3 linked regions of the Nothobranchius furzeri genome follow. The protein of the gene in region 1 binds, or shares a complex with, the protein of each later gene. Links are inferred from orthologs where the notes say so. Each region holds a gene or a part of one and is shown on either strand. Other genes may lie near its edges.

What was found.
Region 2: taf7 (region 1) and taf13 share a complex: the UniProt entries of both Homo sapiens proteins name them as parts of the TFIID basal transcription factor complex. The link is inferred for Nothobranchius furzeri from reciprocal best matches to the Homo sapiens genes TAF7 and TAF13.
Region 3: taf7 (region 1) and gtf2b share a complex: the UniProt entries of both Homo sapiens proteins name them as parts of the TFIID-containing RNA polymerase II pre-initiation complex. The link is inferred for Nothobranchius furzeri from reciprocal best matches to the Homo sapiens genes TAF7 and GTF2B.

The regions. Positions count from the first base shown.
Region 1 is NC_091741.1:82,931,108-82,934,762, forward strand, and holds part of taf7 (transcription initiation factor TFIID subunit 7), read right to left. Parts: intron 3,518-3,655; coding exon 3,384-3,517; intron 3,118-3,383; coding exon 2,997-3,117; intron 2,849-2,996; coding exon 2,790-2,848; intron 2,359-2,789; coding exon 2,286-2,358; intron 419-2,285; coding exon 308-418; intron 1-307. UniProt on the Homo sapiens protein: The TFIID basal transcription factor complex plays a major role in the initiation of RNA polymerase II (Pol II)-dependent transcription.
Region 2 is NC_091755.1:48,193,830-48,196,841, forward strand, and holds taf13 (transcription initiation factor TFIID subunit 13), read left to right. Parts: upstream 1-1,462; 5' UTR 1,463-1,577; exon of another isoform or gene 1,578-1,584; intron 1,585-1,650; 5' UTR 1,651-1,697; coding exon 1,698-2,072; 3' UTR 2,073-2,362; downstream 2,363-3,012. Other genes in the region: slc35c2 (solute carrier family 35 member C2), read right to left, coding at 110-220. UniProt on the Homo sapiens protein: The TFIID basal transcription factor complex plays a major role in the initiation of RNA polymerase II (Pol II)-dependent transcription.
Region 3 is NC_091751.1:71,417,625-71,421,751, forward strand, and holds the start of gtf2b (transcription initiation factor IIB), read right to left. Parts: upstream 2,951-4,127; 5' UTR 2,876-2,950; coding exon 2,859-2,875; intron 106-2,858; coding exon 1-105. UniProt on the Homo sapiens protein: General transcription factor that plays a role in transcription initiation by RNA polymerase II (Pol II). Involved in the pre-initiation complex (PIC) formation and Pol II recruitment at promoter DNA.

The sequences.
Region 1 (3,655 bases):
ATATCGATATATCGCAGGAAAAAAGATCACGATATATTGCTATATCAATATTTTCTTACATCCCTAGAAGCAACATATGACTGAATGCGTCTATAAGCAAACAATACATGCATACGAATGTATAAAGATCTGATCTATGCTAGCTTTTCCTGAGGGACTAAAGCAGAAATTCAGGCTTTTCGTCCTTTCAGGATTTATGTATGGTTTTATAGAAAGCAGTCACAATCAGAGTCTTAATCTGTACCCCAGATTTGTCAACAAAGTCCATACCAGCTGTTCATCAAACAGAACGTGTATTTACATTTACCTGAGGACCCGTGACCCTTATGTCCTGAAGTACCAGGTGAAGAGTCCAGATTAGCCAGAGACCCATGCTGGTCTGCTTCTTTGGACTCATCCTCTGCTATAATTTCCCATCCTGAACATCTTGAGTTAGGGCCAATCTTTAAAAAAATCCAACACTAAAATACCTCAAATCCTGTGAGATGAACCTAAATAAGCTCTTCTATGAATCACACCTGAGGGACAACATTTAGCAACAAAAACATAAACAGAATCTAGTTTCTCTGTGACCAAACAATAATGAACCGACCGTCTCAATAACACACAGCAAGCAGCCAGACAAAGCCGCTCCGCTGTGCTCTTATTCTGTCAGAAATGTTCAGGGTTTCATTAGAGCTCTAATAGCTTCTTTTCACACAGTGTCTGCCTCACAAAAGCATCACACGGAGCCAGATAAAGAGAGCTGGGTGGGACGGAGTCTGCTGGGTCTTGGATTAAATGTGAGATATTAAATTCTGTGTACATCACAGTTAAGTTTGAGATTGTCAGGTTTTCACCACAGCCTCGACAGAGACTACTGTCATACATAATACTGCTGAGCACTGTTTTCTGCTCATCCTCTCAGGACATTGGGGGGGGGGGGGGTTGAGGTGTGGACCAAGCTCTGGTATTTATTCAATGTCTGAATATTCCAAATTCATCCGAGATCAATGCAAGCTCTGACATTCTTCTTTGTTGTTTTCCTATTGTCCAATAAGGTCCTTAGCAATAGCTTGGGCTAGTGTTGTTCTGCGGTTAGCATTACCGTGACCAACGTTTATATATTAGTGATGCTGAAGTGGGATGGAACATGTAAATTTAAGGGGTGTGTCCTGCTTATGACATGTTAACCAGCTTTTCTCAGAACACACCATTTCCCCGCAGGCATTACAACATCACTAATGTACATGTGAAAGCAGATCAGAGACGGTGTAGGTACCAGATCTACTCAGGGTGCCCGATGTGCTCAGGGGCCTGCCGATGACATCGCACTACAGCAATGCCTCTCGGACAAAATACATTGCACATCTTTTTCGATACTGTTCTTCCAGACATAGGTTTTGGAAAGAGTTTAGCAGATTTGTTATTAAATATTTTTTTCTTTATAACTAACTTGTTAATGAAACACCATATTTCCTGTTTTGCAAAACATGTGAAACTACATGAAATCAGCATCAAACTGTCCCAAGAACCTCTCAACAATTCTAATGTGATTTTTTATGCAGTTACTGAAGCTGTTTACATAAATGTGGACTTTTTCTGTATACATCGTTAGTTCTTACATTTTATACTTGCTATTTGTTCAGTTAAGTTCTTAACTAACTAAATTTTGTTAGCCTGCCCTGCCAGACTCGTCCTCTGTTCTACACAGTAAACAGGTCTGGTTACTCACAGGCAGAGAGGCACATGAGAGGCAGGACTAGCCAACTCAAAAATAACCAATCAGAAAAAAAGGCGGAAATGATGACTGTAACGCGCGACGCTGAAGTTTTTTTTTTTAGCTGTAGTCAAAAATGGCTTCTGGCGACAGCGCAAAGATCTTTCTTTAGAAGAAAGTCTTTTAGCTCTTCTACAGCGAACTCCGCTTCAGAAGCCGTCTTCGTTGTTTATGAGAAACTCATCGTTACGGTGTGTTTCGTACGCTGCTCAGCACTGATTTGCTTGGTTCGAATTCTCCGGGGGGGGGGGTCATTTGAATAGGAGAGTTCCCAGCTAGCTGGTCAGGCTACAATTTCGCCCCATTTCATCAAAGCTGTTTTTTGCTTTTATTTCAATTTCCTTTTGGCAATATAAACATATTCGCCCCATAAACCTAATTTCTAAAACTTTTGTATAAACATCTCCATGGTCTCTTTTTGTCTTTACAGCTGTATTGTTTCCAAACAACCCTTTTAGTTTGCTGGACGGTAACAGGTTAGGGAGATTTTCATGATGTTTTGTACTGTGGGAGTCGAAAAGGATACGAACGCTGACAGCATCAGCATCTGTACTCAGTAATCTCTTCACTTCCTTTTCCACATCAGGAGATTCAATGTACTGCAAAACAAACAGAGTTCAGGTTACTTCTTAACCACACAAACACACATGCAAACACACACACACACACCCTCACAAAAAACTGTTGGATCCAAGCCAGGAAGTACTTTTGTGATTAAAAACATGAAGAGCCAAATCAATATTGCTCAGCACCTTCAGGAAGATCTATTCAAAAGACAAAGTAAAAGTGTCACACTCAAGCTTGTTCACTTTCACTCTGATCAAAGCAGTAGTGAAATTGCCTTTTTGCATGCCTTTGGAGGAAAGATGGAACACTTTATATGTTAATCTTGGTTTTCACTTTCACCACAGAGGCTGTTTTATGAAAAGTACATTTGGAGCAGAGCTTAAGAAATATATGAATCATCAAACAATATGCCAAAGAAACAGCAGGGCAATGGGGAAGAGGGTGGGATTTTAAAAATGTCTACCTTCTTTTTGGCTGTTTTCCGAAATCGTCGCTTGCGCGTGTTCTTCAGTGGGCAGGTTACTGACGACCAAAACAAAAGAGTTAGCAAAGTGAAAATGATTCAATCAGCTGAGGAGGCAAAGTCTGCATCCACAACTGCTGACATGTGACTTTTTCTTTAGAACAAATTATTAAAAATTCAGTTATGCAGAGATATTCATCAGCTTACTGCCATGATTCCAAATGAATTTCTTGTCCTTGTCTTTATCTTTCTTTTTGCTCTTGGGGTCGGTGCCAGTTGGCTCCTCCAGCGGAGGAAAAAGGTCTCCATCTAGTGTACACACCAGCATCTAAATAAAAATAAAAATAATAGACTGGTCAATTGTCGTTGTTGTTTGTTTTGTTTTTGCCCGTGTGTTTGTGGAGTTAAAATTTTGTGTTTCTAAAATTGTAGGAGGGGTTTGGAAATCCATAATCTTATGCTTCTACCTTCCCCCTACTCAAAATAGTTCTGATTTATTTTAGTTGTTTTTTTACAGTGCATATAGGTTTGAGCATGCATTTTCCATTTTATTTCTAATAAGTGCAAACATTAAATCATAGAGTGGTGGTTTACCTGGCAGACATCAGCAGTCTTGTAAAACGTTTTCTTATCTACAGTTTTCAGAGACTCAATCATACAAGGTAAGTCCACCAGTTTGCAGGCCAAAGGAACACGGTCCACTCTCACTATTCCGTGGCGACCATCAGCTGTAAATGAAAGAAGCAAATGATTGAGATTTGTTGTAAGTTGCTGAAGTATCGACAGCTGGTGTCACTGATGGGCTGTACTAAAGACCAGAAAAGACAAGATTACTAAAGAATTACCAAACCACATATAAAAATCTA
Region 2 (3,012 bases), on another chromosome or scaffold:
ATAACTCCAGGAGACAGACATAATATGGATTAAGATGGGCACCAATCAAGAAACAAATAAGAAGCTCTAATAAAGTAACACTCTGGGAAAGGGAATGGGTCTCATTTACCTTCATTAGCCATTTGTTATAGAATGTGATGCCTATAGAGAAGACATAGTAGAGGAGGACCAGTCCAATAGTGCAAAGACCTCTGAAGAGGAACTGAACTGGGCACGCCATCCGGGACTTCCAGGACCAGCTGTCCAGAATGGACTGTTAATGCAGAGGGAGCATCTCCAAAATACCTCTGCACCCCACCACACCACCCATAATGGTTCACTAGAATAAGGACCTAAGGGGAAAAACAACAAACATATGAGATATGTTATTCGGATTCAACAGAACATCCTTATCTACAACAGATAATGTAAATATGTGAGATATAATTCAACTTAGATTATCTGAAATGACTGGGGGACCTCACCCTATACACCTGAAAGACACATCCGGTCTAGCTTTAACAAGCTCTAGCAGACAGCCATGACTTGTTAATGTAACTTAAAAATAAACTATTTTTTAAAATAAAGTTCTCAACTAAGGAGAGTTGTAAATAAAACCCTTCACTTCTAGGAGCGTTAAATTGTATTTTATTTACCTTTATTATAATTCTGACCAAGAACCATGCGATTTGGATTTGGAAGATGCTATAAAATTAAACCAAAAAGTCATTAAGACTGTGTTACCACAGCCACAGCGTTAGCCTACACAGCTAACAGCTAACGAGACATGTGGAGATGAACGGCGTAGCACACACATCCTACTTTACATCTAGATATAATATAAAGTGTGTCCGGTTTACCAGATGGCTTGTGAAGAATCATCACAACCAAGCAGTTGCTATCTTTAGCCGTTAGCTGACAGCTAAGCTAACGCAACTTTCGGATCTCTAAACGTTTTAACAACATTAACATAGAAACATTTAGTAGCTAACCAGCGACTCTAGTGTAGTTCTTACCGGTTCTGATCTTGTGTACACGTCTGAGCACAGAAAGAAAGAAAATAAGGCACTAGATATTTGAGCTAGTGTTTCTTTCCGCTATGTTTCTTCTTCTACGCCTTCAACGGAGGTTGACACATTATTCACAAATGCATGCTGGGTTAGAGAAGCAGAAAACAAAAACCGCCAAAAAGCTTCAACTTCATTATCATTCATGATATAGTTTGGCTAAGTAGAAACAAAAACACTCAAGAAAACAATTGGAATAGATGCAGATCTGAAATAAACCTAATATACATATGAAGTCGTTATTTTTTCCGTTTGTTGAATTCAGCCTGTCAGTGTGACTCTCATGGCTCTAATATTTATTAATTTATTTTGTTTATTTATTTATTTATTTGTGACTCGTTTCAATCTCGATTTTAAACAAGAATTTATTCAAAAGATTAGATCTGCGCTGACGTTTCAAACTCAGTCCAGTAGGTGGCGGTCATGCAATTTGAAGTTGGCGTGTCAAACGCTGAAGCCCAAAAATACCAAAGAAGAAGAACAACAACGAACGTAGAAGAGTCTGGGGATTGTTGTGATCCAGTTTTCAAAGTAAAATGTAATTTTTGTTCTCTAAAACGCATTTTGATGTTTGCATGTTGTAAGTGTGAGGTTTATCTTACAGTAAAGCGTCGTTAAGGCTCGTTTTATCGGCGTTTTCCTCCAGAATTAATGGCGGACGAGGAGGACGAGGCTGGCTTCGAGGAGGAGTTGGAGGACGGGTCCAGCGGAGTGGATGTCGGCCACGGCAGGAGAAAGAGACTCTTCTCTAAGGAGCTCCGGTGCATGATGTACGGGTTTGGAGACGACCAGAACCCGTACACGGAGTCTGTGGATATTCTGGAGGATCTGGTGATCGAGTTCATCACGGAAATGACCCACAAAGCCATGTCTATCGGGCGCCAGGGCCGCGTCCAGGTGGAGGACATCGTTTTTCTAATTCGCAAGGATCCCAGAAAGTTCGCCAGAGTCAAAGACCTCCTGACCATGAACGAGGAGCTGAAGAGAGCCCGGAAAGCTTTTGATGAAGCCAATTACGGCTCCTAATGAACTCGCGTTTGTTTGTCGCTTCCTGCTAACTGGTTTGTGTATTTTTTAGTGGTTCTCACTTGAATAACAGAACTGACTGTTTTAATGACATGTTTACACTGTCAAGTCATCGGAAACTCTCAAATAAAGTTAGTTTGTTTCAAATAAGTCCCAACACCAACAGGAAAACCAACATCTGTTATTTACATTGAAGAATGAAACTTTCTGCCAACGTGTTGGAAAGGATTGTTAAGGTTTTTTTAAGTGTTTCCATGGAAACTGCGTGAATAAATTAACATTTCATTATCTTTCCTGCTGTTTGGATTGGAGAGACTTTTGTGGTATATCAGGTGTTTCTGCAGTTTAAAATTAGAGTTTTTACACCTTAAATGTACCCGTATGTCGTTAGTTTCCTAACTTTGTTGCTGTCTGCAGAAGAGATGACCTGCTGTGGCACATCTGGCTGGGATTTCATAATTGTGAGTGTTAACCCTTTGATGCATAATGGTCACTACAGTGGACAGGTACTCAAAATTGTTATTTATTTGTTTTTGCACAAAGCACAGCTGTTGAAGACTTGATGGCATTTGAGCCCCTCCATTTGGACTTCAGTAAGTCAAGCCAACATGTTTCATGCTCAGAATGCACGCTGCCCACTGAGGTGGACATGTAATAAATTATTTGTAAATTATAAAAAAAATATATATTTGTTGAAATTTGTTTCATTCACACCTAAAGACGAATGAAAAAAATCATGGTTGAAGATTTCATAATTCATGCATCAAAGGGTTAAAGCATTTTGTAATAATGTTCACTCATCTGTTCAATCAGAACTAACCAGTTATGCCATTCAAAGATATATCTACAGTTAATCGCTCATAACATTTCCACAGAACACTTCAAAGGATCTAAACGCTTCCTTTGAAGTGTGCGTCAACAGCCATCAAGTGTTGAAGTA
Region 3 (4,127 bases), on another chromosome or scaffold:
AGGCCACATTCAGGACAGATCATGTCTCCTGCTCTGTAGTCCTCCACCAGTATGGCATCAGGGTGGTTGGGGCACGTAACCCTGGGCAGGGTCAGACCTTCACCGCTGTGAAAGCCAATAGGGATATATTTATGTGTGTTAATTACATAAATTACAAATCAACAAGGTGAACATAAACCTTTGACCTGCTAAATGAGGCTTGTAGGGTCTGAGATGGAGCTCTTGGGTTGTTTGTACTTCTGAGCTCAGGATGAACCACAGATTAAGGTTCTGCATTTATAACTCATCTTAATCTCTGTGGAATGAGCTAGTAAATAGTTTGGAGATAACCTTTAACCTTTCCCAGCAACAGAAGGTTTTGGGCGTCACTATTCCAAGCAGATCCCCTTGTACCCGGGAACGACGCAAGGCCAAAAATGAGCGGGAACCAAAGGAGTAGGAAGGAGTTTAATGGGATGGACCGGGGGGGGGGGGGGGGTTGGAAATCTGATAAATCTGTTTTAGGTAAATATGTAGGTCAACCTCACTGAAAAAAATACATTCAATGATTATTTCTGATTCTAACGGGTCACTCTGAGTGTTTCATGCAGGCTGAACATGAAAATAGTCTCCTACACCCATCTCCTGCATTCGCTTCTGATAGAAAACAGACGGTGGAACTCTAGGATATGAAAAGCCTGACAGACGAGACTTGGGGCGTAAGGCAAACCCCAGAAAGACTAGAAAATAACTTTATAGCAAGTTCACTAACATTCTGTTTATTGATCGGGGACTAATGAGCCAACCAGAAGGGGCGGAGACTTAGGCTCCCCATTAGCCGGATCCAGGTTTGATTACTGGCCAGCGTGGACGTGTTAATGATAAAAAAGCTGTTAATAACATGAACGTAGGATATATGATCTTATTCCTATGGGTAGAGATGTGTAAACAGATTTAATACAAGACTAAAGCTGTGAATATTCAGTCTGAACTGATCCGACTCTCATCAGAATATTTTAAACTACATCAGCCAACAATGCTGACCAACAATCAGAACTATCTGTTTGTTTGTGACTGAATGAAAAAATACATCATTCACTCACAACAACAGCTGGAACTACGTTATTATTCAGACGGACAAAACTGCTGTCTAGATGCACCAGAATGCAGAGTTCAACACTTACTTTTCTAGTATGTCTAAGGAAGCATGAACAGCATGGCCGTGCTGCCCAGCTCTACTTGTAATGGGATTACATAAATGTAACTGTGTTCACTTAATATTACATTCAGATCTTCCTCTCATCAGCCACTAAAATCATCTCACTCTTCACTGTCTCACCCTCAGCAGGTCTGGTGCTGCCTGTCTCACCCTCAGCAGGTCTGGTGCTGCCTGTCTCACCCTCAGCAGGTCTAGCTCTCCCCGTCTCACCCTCAGCAGGTCTGGTGCTGCCTGTCTCACCCTCAGCAGGTCTGGCTCTCCCTGTCTCACCCTCAGCAGGTCTGGCTCTTCCTGTCTCACCCTCAGCAGGTCTGGCTCTCCCCGTCTCACCCTCAGCAGGTCTGGTGCTGCCTGTCTCACCCTCAGCAGGTCTGGCTCTCCCCATCTCACCCTCAGCAGGTCTGGTGCTGCCTGTCTCACCCTCAGCAGGTCTGGCTCTCCCTGTCTCACCCTCAGCAAGTCTGGCTCTCCCAGTCTCACCCTCAGCAGGTCTGGTGCTCCCTGTCTCACCCTCAGCAGGTCTGGTGCTCCCTGTCTCACCCTCAGCAGATCAGATGGTATGAAAGTTGTTATAAACTGCTGCGTCTCATTGGTCTGGCTTAGTAACACAATCGAGAAATGGTTTTGTGGATTTAGACTGATTTACCTAGGAACTGTTGAAAAAAAAAGTCCCTTAATTTTGGAATAAAATCCTAATAAAAAAGATCTGATTGTGTGAAATGTGTTAACACTGTTGTGTCTTGTAAATGTAGTTTAGTAACACAAGTCAGAAGTTATTTTGAGTCATTTAGCAAATTATTCTGGAAGCTTTTAATTGTTTGTACTCGTTTACAAAGGACTACAAATTTGTTGATAGTCCCTAAGGGAACCACCGTTCCCATTAGCGAGTCCGCGGAACCCAGGTTACCGCTGTCTGTGCCGCCGTGCACGGCATGAAGACTCATCTCTGACCGTGTAAACCGATGTCTGTCGAACATCCAACTTCAGGCTAACTTCACCGCGGTGCTCAGGGACCTAGTAGCAGTGCCCGCCCTGGGACTGGGTTCACATCTCGGTCGGGTCACAGCAAAGACTTGAGACCCACTGCCTCCCTGCTTGATACTCAGATAGATTGGGGGGGGGGTCAAACCACCAAATGGTTCCCAAGCGCGGCTGTGTCTGCAGCCCACAGTTCCCCCAGGGATGGGTGAAATGCGGAGAACAAATGTCAACTAGTGGAACTTTAACTTTAAACTTTGAGAGCCGAGGGAGCCGATGGTAACGATGATAATCGCTGTAAACATCCAACGTGGCTAAGATTTGTTTACAAACGTCCAGACTGACTCGGAGCTACGCTGGTTACTTATTCACCATGGCACGAGCCTTCTCCGCACGCGAACCGACGCAGAGGAGCTTCAAACAGAAACGAAACTAAAGGGATCCGCACGGAGCTGCGAGGCGCAGCGGCGACACAAGCAGAGATTTCTGGTAGCATCTGACGTTCTCCAGCAAGCTAACTGCCACCAGACCACAACTAACCCTAAACGCGTTACATCCACAACAGCAGACCAGCGTCGTCTGTTAAAAACACTCTTGTACACATTCTTCAACTTCTCACGTTCTCGGAACTTCAACTAGAGAACAAACATGTTTTGCAGAGTTGGTCCAACTGGTTACGCACCGGCTCGTCGACGCCATGTTCTTCCTTTCTCTTCAGTCAGAGAAACAAATGATCCAGTCACCTCTATATAAATACTCGGGTCACGTGTCACTAAAACTACGGAAAGCACAAGAGTCAAAACTAAATCAAATTCTTTTGTTTGGGACGTGGAACCTGTTGGGTTTTCGGGCTTCAAAATAAAATTGTGGCAAGGCTGTAGATACCAGGGGGATGAACTCCTTCCGTTTGTTAGGAGAATGTAAACTAGTAACTCGTAATCAGGAATCTGACCCTTCAAGGGTCCCCACATGATAGAAGAAGAAGAATAATTTTTATTTATTTATTTAGTAAATTTAAAAACAAACATGGCACTTTGACAATGTTAAGTCCAAAACTTAAATTCAAAAGGAGCAGTTAAAATAACATTTGTAAATATCCAGTAAAAAGACAACAACAAGAGACAAAAGAACATGAAGAACAAGTAGAGTACAGCATTTATCATACAGAATTAGGAAATCACTTTGGAAGTTCAGCTAACATGTTATATAGATTTTCGTTATATTTGTTGAGATGTTTCAGGGATTTTAAATATAATTGAAATTCTATTAAGAACATTGAAGACAGTGGATGATTGTAAAATTCGTTGTTTATGGATAAAAATTTGGCTAAACAGAGGATGATATTATAGCAGTTCTTTATCTTTATTATTGAATATAATTCCAAATATTATCATATCTTTAGTGATGTGAACTGGGAGTGGTTTGATCCACACCTCTAGCTTTTTCCAGAACAATTGTGATTTCTGACATTCATAAAATATATGATCTATAGTTTCTATGTGGTTTTTGCAAAAAGAGCAGTTGTTGCTATCAATATTAAAACGAGCTCTTAACAACTCTTTTGAAGGATAGATTGCATTCATTATTTTAAAGTGGGTTTCTTTAGCTTTCGGTGGTATAGGTAATTTTAGGTAGATAGTTCTTATTTTCTCAACAGACGTTTTATCAGATGTGTAAATTATGTTATTTTTGTTTGTTTTTCCAGGAAAAAGAGATTCATTTAAGGGTGATCTTATTGTAAGATCGTTGCATTTTCTGTCAGTTAACAGAAGACCTTTAATAGATAAGATAGGAAGGATTGGAATACGGATTCCCAAAGTGTGGTGCGTGCGCGAGCTGCCGCTAGGAGGTGCGCGAGCTGCCGCTAGGGGGTGCGCGAGCTGCCGCTAGGAGGTGCGCGAGCTGCCGCTAGGGGGTGCGCTAGGTGAAAAGTGTAATGGCTGTGGAGCTC